2 linked regions of the Sus scrofa genome follow. The protein of the gene in region 1 purifies or fractionates together with the protein of each later gene. This does not show direct contact. Links are inferred from orthologs where the notes say so. Each region holds a gene or a part of one and is shown on either strand. Other genes may lie near its edges.

Region 1 (4,014 bases):
TGTGGCATAGGCCTCAGCTGACATTCCAACTCAACCCCTGGCCCAGGAACTTCCACATGCTGCGGGGGTGGCCATTTAAAAAAAAAAAAAAAAAAAAAAGGAAGCAGTGTTACAATATTTTTCCATGAAGCACCGCTGTGTCCCCTCACTACAGCTGCCTTCTAGGCCAGCCACTGACTATTCAGCCTGAGTGGAGATGTACTTTACACGCGGGATGTACACCAGGTGTCAGAAGACGTAACATGAGGAGTTCCCACTGTGGCTCAGCAGTTACAAGCCCGACCAGTATCCATGAGGACGCCAGTTCAATCCCTGGCCTCGCTTGGTGGGTTAAGGATCCAGCGTTAACATGAGCTGTGGTGTAGGTCAGAGACGCGGCTCAGATCCCCCATTGCTGGTGGCTGTGGTGTAGGCCGGCAGCTGCAGCTCCAATTTGACCCCTACCCTGGGCACCTCCATATGCTGCAGGTGTGGCCCTCAAAAAAAAAAAGGACAAAGCGTGGGGAAAAAGAAATGCAAGGTATCTCGTTAGCACTCCACATAATGAGGGGCTGAAATGACAATAATTTAAATATAAGGGGTTAAATAAAATGTCATCCAATTAACAAAAAAAAAAAAGAAAAAAAAAGTACCAGCCTATGAGGAGGGGTAGACATGACTAAGCCTCTCCATCGCTGGCTCCGCCGTCATGATGTGTCCAGGAGCAACCCTTCCCTTCACACAGGGCCTCGCCACCTGGCAAAGCTGACAGGTGGCGCCACATCATTCTGTGTCACAGGGGCCGCCCTGGGCACCAGAGGCTGCCACAGCCATCACCACGCCAGATCCCTAACCCACTGAGCGAGGCCAGGGATCAAACCCACATCCTCACGGACACCATGTCAGGTTCTTAGCCCCCTGAGCCCCAAGGGGAACTCCAACATCAACTTTCAAAAAGATAAAAGGCCTCAGCCACAAGGAAGAAAAAATGAAATTGTGTCATTTGCAACAACATGGATGGACCTGGGAGTTGTTACACTAAATGAAATAAATCAGACAGAAAAAGACAGATACTGAGGTTAATGACTTAGCTCTGAAATCTAAAAAAATAAGACAAACTACTGAATACAACAAAAATGAAATAGACTCACAGACGCAGAGAACAAACTAGAGGTTACCAGCAAGGAGAGGGGAGAGGAAGGGGCAAGAGAGGGGTTGGTACCAAAAAAAAAAAAAAGATAAAAGGCACTGTAGTTCTCGGAGCTCCTGCCTGGCACCCTGGCTGGCACGCTCTGGGAGAAGCCCGCTAACACGTTGTGAGGACACTCAAGCAGCCCCCTGGAGAGCCCCCTCCACAATGACGGGGGTGATCAGGTCCCAGATGGCAACAGGACTTTGGCTGAGAGCCCTGAGGGGGCCCAAAAGCACTCGAGCGGGCCCTTGTCCTGTGTCGCCAGGATCTGGCTCTCTGACCAGTGCAGCGGGTGGCAAGTGCACAGCTCTGTTCCCAGCACCAAGCAGAGACCCGACAGGTGCTGGGAATAAACAACAAATGAGGCCCCCCTCCCTCTGCCCTGAAGCAGATCGGAGGGCTGGCGCCTGCCCTGTGGACCCAGGCCCCACCCTGCCAGCCCGGCCCCAGGACACTCACAGGAGATGGCGAAGAGGGCCTTGACGCGCACCGAGTCGCAGGGGTCCCGATCCAGCAGGCGCAGCAGCTTGCGCAGGGCACCGAGGCCCAGCACCTGCTCCTGGATGGCCGCCACGTTCTGGCTGCATGTGCCGATGAGTTGTGCCGCCCGCCACCGCAGCCCCGCGGGGCCCGCCTCCAGGTAGCGGCCTACCAGCAGGTGCATGCCAGATAGCTGGCAGAAGTCTGTGTGGGAGAGAGGGGAGCAGACAGGTGTGACGGGCTGAGCTGTGCCCACCCCCAACTTTCCACTGAAGTCCTAACCCCCAGGGTCCTAGGAAGTACTGTATTTGGGGACAGGCCATTAAGGAGGCGATTAAGGCGAAATGATGTCACAGGATGGGGCGCCGGTCCAATATGACTGGTGTCCTCATAAGAAGAGATCAGGACACAGACACCCACGGAGGAGGAACCACAAGAGGATACAGTGAGAAGAGCGCCGTCTACGAGCCCGGAAGGGCCTCAGAAGACACCAATGCTCAGGCTTCCAGCCTCGGAACTATGAGAAAGTAGACTTCTGCTGTTTCAGCCCCAATCCGCGGTGCTTTCTTAGGGCAAAGGGGAGCCTGCCTCCGAGGGCTGGCTCTCTCCAAGGACAGTGTGTCTCGACGATGTCAGCATTTGGAGGGTCAGGGCTCCCAGGCTCCGGCCCCCTCAATGCCAGCCCGGACACCCCGTCTCTGTGACCACCAGGACATGCCCTGTGGGAGAAGCACACGCCAAACCAGTGATCTGCAAACTACAGCCCACCGGCTGTTTTCCTATTGGCGAGCTTGGCGCTTCCTCAGAAAGTCATCAGCGAAGACACCTAGTTATCTCCCAAAGCGGTGAAAGCAGGAACTCCACTGGGCACCTGCACGCCAGTGTTCACAGCCGCATCATGTGCAATAACCCAGGGGTAGCTGCCCCAAATACCCATCAGCTGATGAATGGATCCATGACACGCAGCCTTAACCACAGAAAGGAATAAAGTTCTGATACCAGTCACAACGTGGAAGAACCTTGAAAACATCACCCTCAGGGAAGGAAGGCAGCTGCAAAAGGTCATGCCTTCTACGACCCCTCATCCGTCAATGTCCAGGACAGATAAACCCAGATCCTCGACAACCACACCGACGCCCCTCCAAGTGGAAGTGACGACTCGTCCATCAGTCAGCTTCTCGGCACCGAGAGTAAGAGCCACAGCACCACCTTGGCCCATGAGGCCAGGTGTGCCTGGTGTCACTTCCTGGCCTCCACTCTGCTGTGCTGGCCTCACTGCTGTTCCCGAACATGTCGGGTGCGTTCCCACCGCAGGGCCTTGGCACAGGCCGTGCCCTCTTCCTGGAATGCCTTTTCCAGAGCTAATTCCATGACTTGAGCCCTCGCTTTAGGTCTCTAACCAAGTGTCACCCTCGGGGAGGGCCTCTCTGGCTCCCCCATCAAGGAACACTTCCTGTGGCTTACTCTGAAGTGGCCATGGACTCCCAGCAGAGGAGGGCGACGTGGCCAGTTTCAGAGAGCATCGGTGAGGTGGTGGACTGAACCTGCAGCCATCAATGCTCCTGACGGCAAGTGAACCGAGCAGGGAGGGACAGGGAGTCCCACCGGGGGCCTGAATCGGAGCCAGACGGCAAGGGTGAGGCTGGAGGCTGGGAGGCTGGGGAGGAGGCTGAGCCAGAGGTCCCTGAGCCAAAGGACAAGGGCTGGGCTGCAGAGGGAAGCCAGGAGGCAGAAGAGGCAGGACCCTGGCAGCCAGAGGCAGGCCGAGGTGGGCTGGCTGTACCTGCAGCGTTGTCCATGTTCTCACACAGGTCGGCCAGCAGCTCCAGGGCCCCCTCACGCTCCTGCTGGTCAGCAGCCAGTTCAGCTTCACCAGCTGAGGAGGGTGTGGGCTGGGACAGCACCCGGAGGCAGTTCTTCATCTGCTCCACCTCCTCTCGCTGGCCCCGGAAGGCGGCCGACATGGCCTCCTGCAGCCACTGGCGCCTCTGGGGAGTGAGGTGGAAGAAAGAGGCAAACTTTACCAATAATTAATTCATGAATAACAGTCATCACCAACAACAGCCACTGTAAATCAACCATACTGCAATAAAATTTTTTTTTTTTTTTGTCTTTTTGCCATTTCTTGGGCCACTCCCCCAGCATATGGAGGTTCCCAGGCTAGGGGTTGAATCGGAGCTGCAGCTGCCAGCCTACACCAGAGCCACAGCAATGAGACATCCAAGCTGAGATCCAAGCCGAGTCTGCGACCTACGCCACAGCTCACGGCAACGCCGGATCCTTAACCCACAGAGCAAGGCCAGGGATTGAACCCCCAACCTCATGGTTCCTAGTGGGATTTGTTAACCACTGCGCCACGATGG
Region 2 (4,014 bases), on another chromosome or scaffold:
AGGGGCCCTCTGCTGGCAAGGGTTAAAGAGTCTAGGGCCAGCTCAAAGTGGCTGTCTCCAGATTAAGCTGGGCAGTGTGCTGAGGATGAGCACAACCCACAAGAAAACCCACACCCACGAGACTGCAGGTTGAGCTAAGAAGGAGAAAACAACAGAACAAGAAAAATCATCCCTGAGAAAACTATAAGCACAAGACTCTTGGCAGAAGCAAGGCACCCTCTCTGAAGGAAAGCACCCTCAACTCAGGCCTTGAATTATTCTTGGAAATAGGATGTGCGTCTGAGCACCAGGATTCACACACGAGACTGTTCATCTTATTATTTCTTTTTGTTTGTTTTTGTTTTTTGTCTTTTTGCTATTTCTTTGGGCCGATCCTCGAGGCATATGGAGGTTCCCAGGCTAGGGGTTGAATCGGAGCTGTAGCCACCGGCCTACACCAGAGCCACAGCAACGCGGGATCCGAGCCGCGTCTGCAACCTACACCACAGTTCACGGCAACGCCGGATTGTTAACCCACTAAGCAAGGGCAGGGACCGAACCCGCAACCTCATGGTTCCTAGTCGGATTCGTTAACCACTGCGCCACGACGGGAACTCCCCATCTTATTATTTCTAATGGCCTCAAACTACAACAATCCCAGAGTTCAGGAATTACAGAACAAATAAACAAACTGTGATATGCTCACTCAATGACTACTGCTGAGCTGAGATAACAAACAGCTCCATGCATCGCTGTGGAAGAATCCTCAAAACACGGTGTTAAGTAAAAGGCAATCAGCCATAGAAGAATACGTGCAGCAGGACTCGCTCTATAAAGCTCACAACCAGGTAAAATGCAAACATGCTGTTTACAACACAGGAAAGCTACCAACGTAACAGCCCAGAACTGCAGTTAATCTGGCCGAGACTCCACAGCGAGGGCACCCGGGGCTCCCTAAAGCACCCTTCACCTCAAGGTGAGGTATACAGGACGCCTTTGTTACTCTTTTAACTGTACATATGCTTCTCATACATTTTCTAGGTGCTTTGATATACATGCTCTATTTCACAAATAGAAATTTTTAAAAACGGGAGATGGATACTTTAAAATTACCATAGAACCACTGGTACAGAACTACAAAACCTAACTATATTTTTTAAAAATCCAGGCAAATATATAATTTTTCAAATTAAGACCCAATCATAGTAGGAAAAACACATGGCACGGGTGAGAGGGAAAAAATACCTACACTCCAAGTTTCTCTCAAGCAGCTGAAAGAATAGATGGCACTTCAAAGCTATACAGTTATATGTAAGCAAAGCACCAGAACATTTTTTTTTTTTCTTTTCCTTTTTGTCCTTTTAGGGCCTCACCCACAGCATACGAAGTTCCCAGGCTAGGGGTTGAACTGGCGCTGAGGCTGCCGGTCTACACCACAGCTCACAGCAACGCTGGATCCTTACCCACTGATCAAGGCCCAGGACTGAACCCGCGTCCTCATGGCTATTAGTCAGAGTCGTTACCGCGGAGCCACAATGGGAGTTCCCACCAGAACATCTTTTAAGGGCCTTGGCACTGAACCTGAACTGAATGGCAATACCTGATTCCTCAGACAACTGTGGTACATGGAGGCGAGCCTGTGATGGATGGTGGCAGCGCGGTACTGACAGAGAGGCTGTCGAGCAGACACCGAGTCCACGTCGCAGTATTTCAGGGACTTCATCATAGCCTCGCTGACTTCTTTTTCAATCTGTTTCATTTTTTAAGGGGGAGGAAAACAATGACAAGCCCATCATCTCACGTAAGACTTTTCAAAACATTCAAATACTGCTTGTCCAGGAAAAGACTCTAACAGATGCTCAGTTATCTGCTGCAGAACTAAGTAATAAGTAAGGTTAAGACTTCTTTCATAATCCAGCAATTATTCTTACCTGCTCTTGAGCTTTTCTAGATAACGGAGCATAATCTTGCTGTAGCGTTGCCATGGTAAAATAAGTAGTGGACAATTCCCAATTCACCGAATCCCAAACAGCTGGGTGTATGTCCCGTGTGCCCAAGGACCTAAGAGCTTTCAAATAGTAGTCGACAGCCTGCGAGGGAGAGAAGAGGACCGTTACGGCTCAGTTTCAATACAGGCTCACATGGCATGAAAGTTAAACACGCCTCACAACCACTCAGACATGAATTTTTGAGAGATATTATAAAAGGGAATCTACGGAGTTCCTATCATGGCTCGGTGGTTAACCACTCTGACTAGCATCCATGAGGACACAGGTTCAATCGCTGGCCTTGCTCGGTGGGTTAAGTATCCAGCACTGCCGTGAGCTGTGGTGCAGGCTGCAGATGGGGCTCAGATCCTATGTTGCTGTGGCTGTGGTGGAGGCTGGCAGCGGCCGCTCCGATGTGACCCCTAGCCTGGGAACCTCCATGTTCTTCGGGTGCAGCGCTAAAAAGCACAAAATAAATAAAAGGGGATTCTCTGAGAAAATACAGGAAGTGAAGAGAGTTAGTAAAGTGGACTCCACCCCACCCCCCATCTTCACCTTGAGTCTGTCATAAGCTCAACTGAGCGTTTTAGGATTTGTGTGAAGCATGAGGATGCACTTTCTTCCTTTGAGTGTTTTCTTTCTCCTGAAGATTATAGTTTATATAACTAGCAACAAATAATTTCACAAGTCTATGGATAAAAAACCTGCAGGGTTTGACTGTATAAAGAAGCAACCCTTCCCACCTCTGCCACCACCCTACTGAAACACATGGTCATTATATTTAAGCAAACAACCCCCCCCCTTTTTTTGGTCTTTTTAGGGCTGCACCCGCAGAATATGGAGGTTCCCAGGCTAGGCATCTAATCAGAGCTGTAGCTGCCAGTCTATACCACAGCTCATGGCAACGCCAGATCCTTAACCCACTGAAGGAGGCCAGGAATCAAACCTGCAACCTCATGGTTCCTAGTCAGATTCATTTCTGCTGTGCCACAACGGGAACTCCAAAAGTCGCTTTTTTTTAAAGTTCACCATGCAATGAACATTGCTCATTAACGTTAAGCAGTGGGCAGCGGCTCAGCCTCACAATCTGAGGTCCTGAGTTATTTCAACAACGTCAAAGTCCTCAATGGCATGAGTGCTCTTGTGTTCTTGAACCCTCTCCAACAACTGCACGCTACCGTTTGCCAAAACAGATTTACAGTTTGCTAAAGGAAACTCAATTTTAAAATTTCCTAAAACTTTGTATTTTGAAATTTTGCTTTCCTATTAACCCTTTCCTTATTTTACATGTATGACATTTTCTTCAAGGTTATCTGTCCTTTTCTCTACTGACATAGTTTATTTTCAATGATTCTTGATTATTCTTGATAGATTAAGGGTTTATTAACCTCTGATCTGTCATGTGTGCTATCCATATTTTTGCTAGATGGTGAACTGTTTTTCAATTGTGCTTTCTGATGTGCATTTAAAAAATATTATTTTTGTGCATTTAAATTTATCCATCTTGGAGTTCCTGTCGTGGCTTAGCAGAAATGAATCTGACTAGCACCCATGAGGATGCAGGTTCAATCCATGGCCTCCCTCAGTGGGTTACAGATCTGGCACCGTGAGCTGTGGTGTAGGCTGCAGATGCAGCCCAGATCTGGCATTACCGCGGCTGTGGCGTAGGCCGGCGGCTACAGCTGCAATTCAACCCCTAGCCTGGGAACCTCCATGTGCCTTGGGAGCAGCCCTAAAAAGACAAAAAAAAAAAAAAATCCATCATTTACTATGTGATTTTTGCTTACTGTGTTATGTAGAAAAAGTCCTTTCCTATCCTAGCAGATAAACGCCGACTGCATTTTCTTCTGAACTTTTATAGATTCACTCGTTTGTGTCACTGTCCATGTCACTTGTCCACGTCAGTCTTTACTGCACTGGACGTTTCCTCCGGCTATGCCGACGCGGTTTACTGAACAGTCATCTTTTCCCACCAATTCAGCCTGTCACCTTCAGGACCACCTTCTTAGTACTCTTAGGCCACTTTCTAAGTGTTTTAATGTTCTGT

What was found. The genes of interacting proteins can lie anywhere in the genome.
Region 2: the proteins of HSPBP1 (region 1) and EDRF1 purify together in Homo sapiens (affinity purification with mass spectrometry; 3 studies listed by BioGRID and IntAct, counting the BioPlex papers as one, with this or other methods). This does not show direct contact. The link is inferred for Sus scrofa from reciprocal best matches to the Homo sapiens genes HSPBP1 and EDRF1.

Annotation. Positions count from the first base shown.
Region 1 is NC_010448.4:59,457,609-59,461,622, forward strand, and holds part of HSPBP1 (hsp70-binding protein 1), read right to left. Parts: intron 3,640-4,014; coding exon 3,435-3,639; intron 1,856-3,434; coding exon 1,631-1,855; intron 1-1,630. UniProt on the Homo sapiens protein: Inhibits HSPA1A chaperone activity by changing the conformation of the ATP-binding domain of HSPA1A and interfering with ATP binding. Interferes with ubiquitination mediated by STUB1 and inhibits chaperone-assisted degradation of immature CFTR.
Region 2 is NC_010456.5:135,069,229-135,073,242, reverse strand, and holds part of EDRF1 (erythroid differentiation-related factor 1), read right to left. Parts: intron 2,070-4,014; coding exon 1,911-2,069; intron 1,730-1,910; coding exon 1,580-1,729; intron 1-1,579. UniProt on the Homo sapiens protein: Transcription factor involved in erythroid differentiation. Involved in transcriptional activation of the globin gene.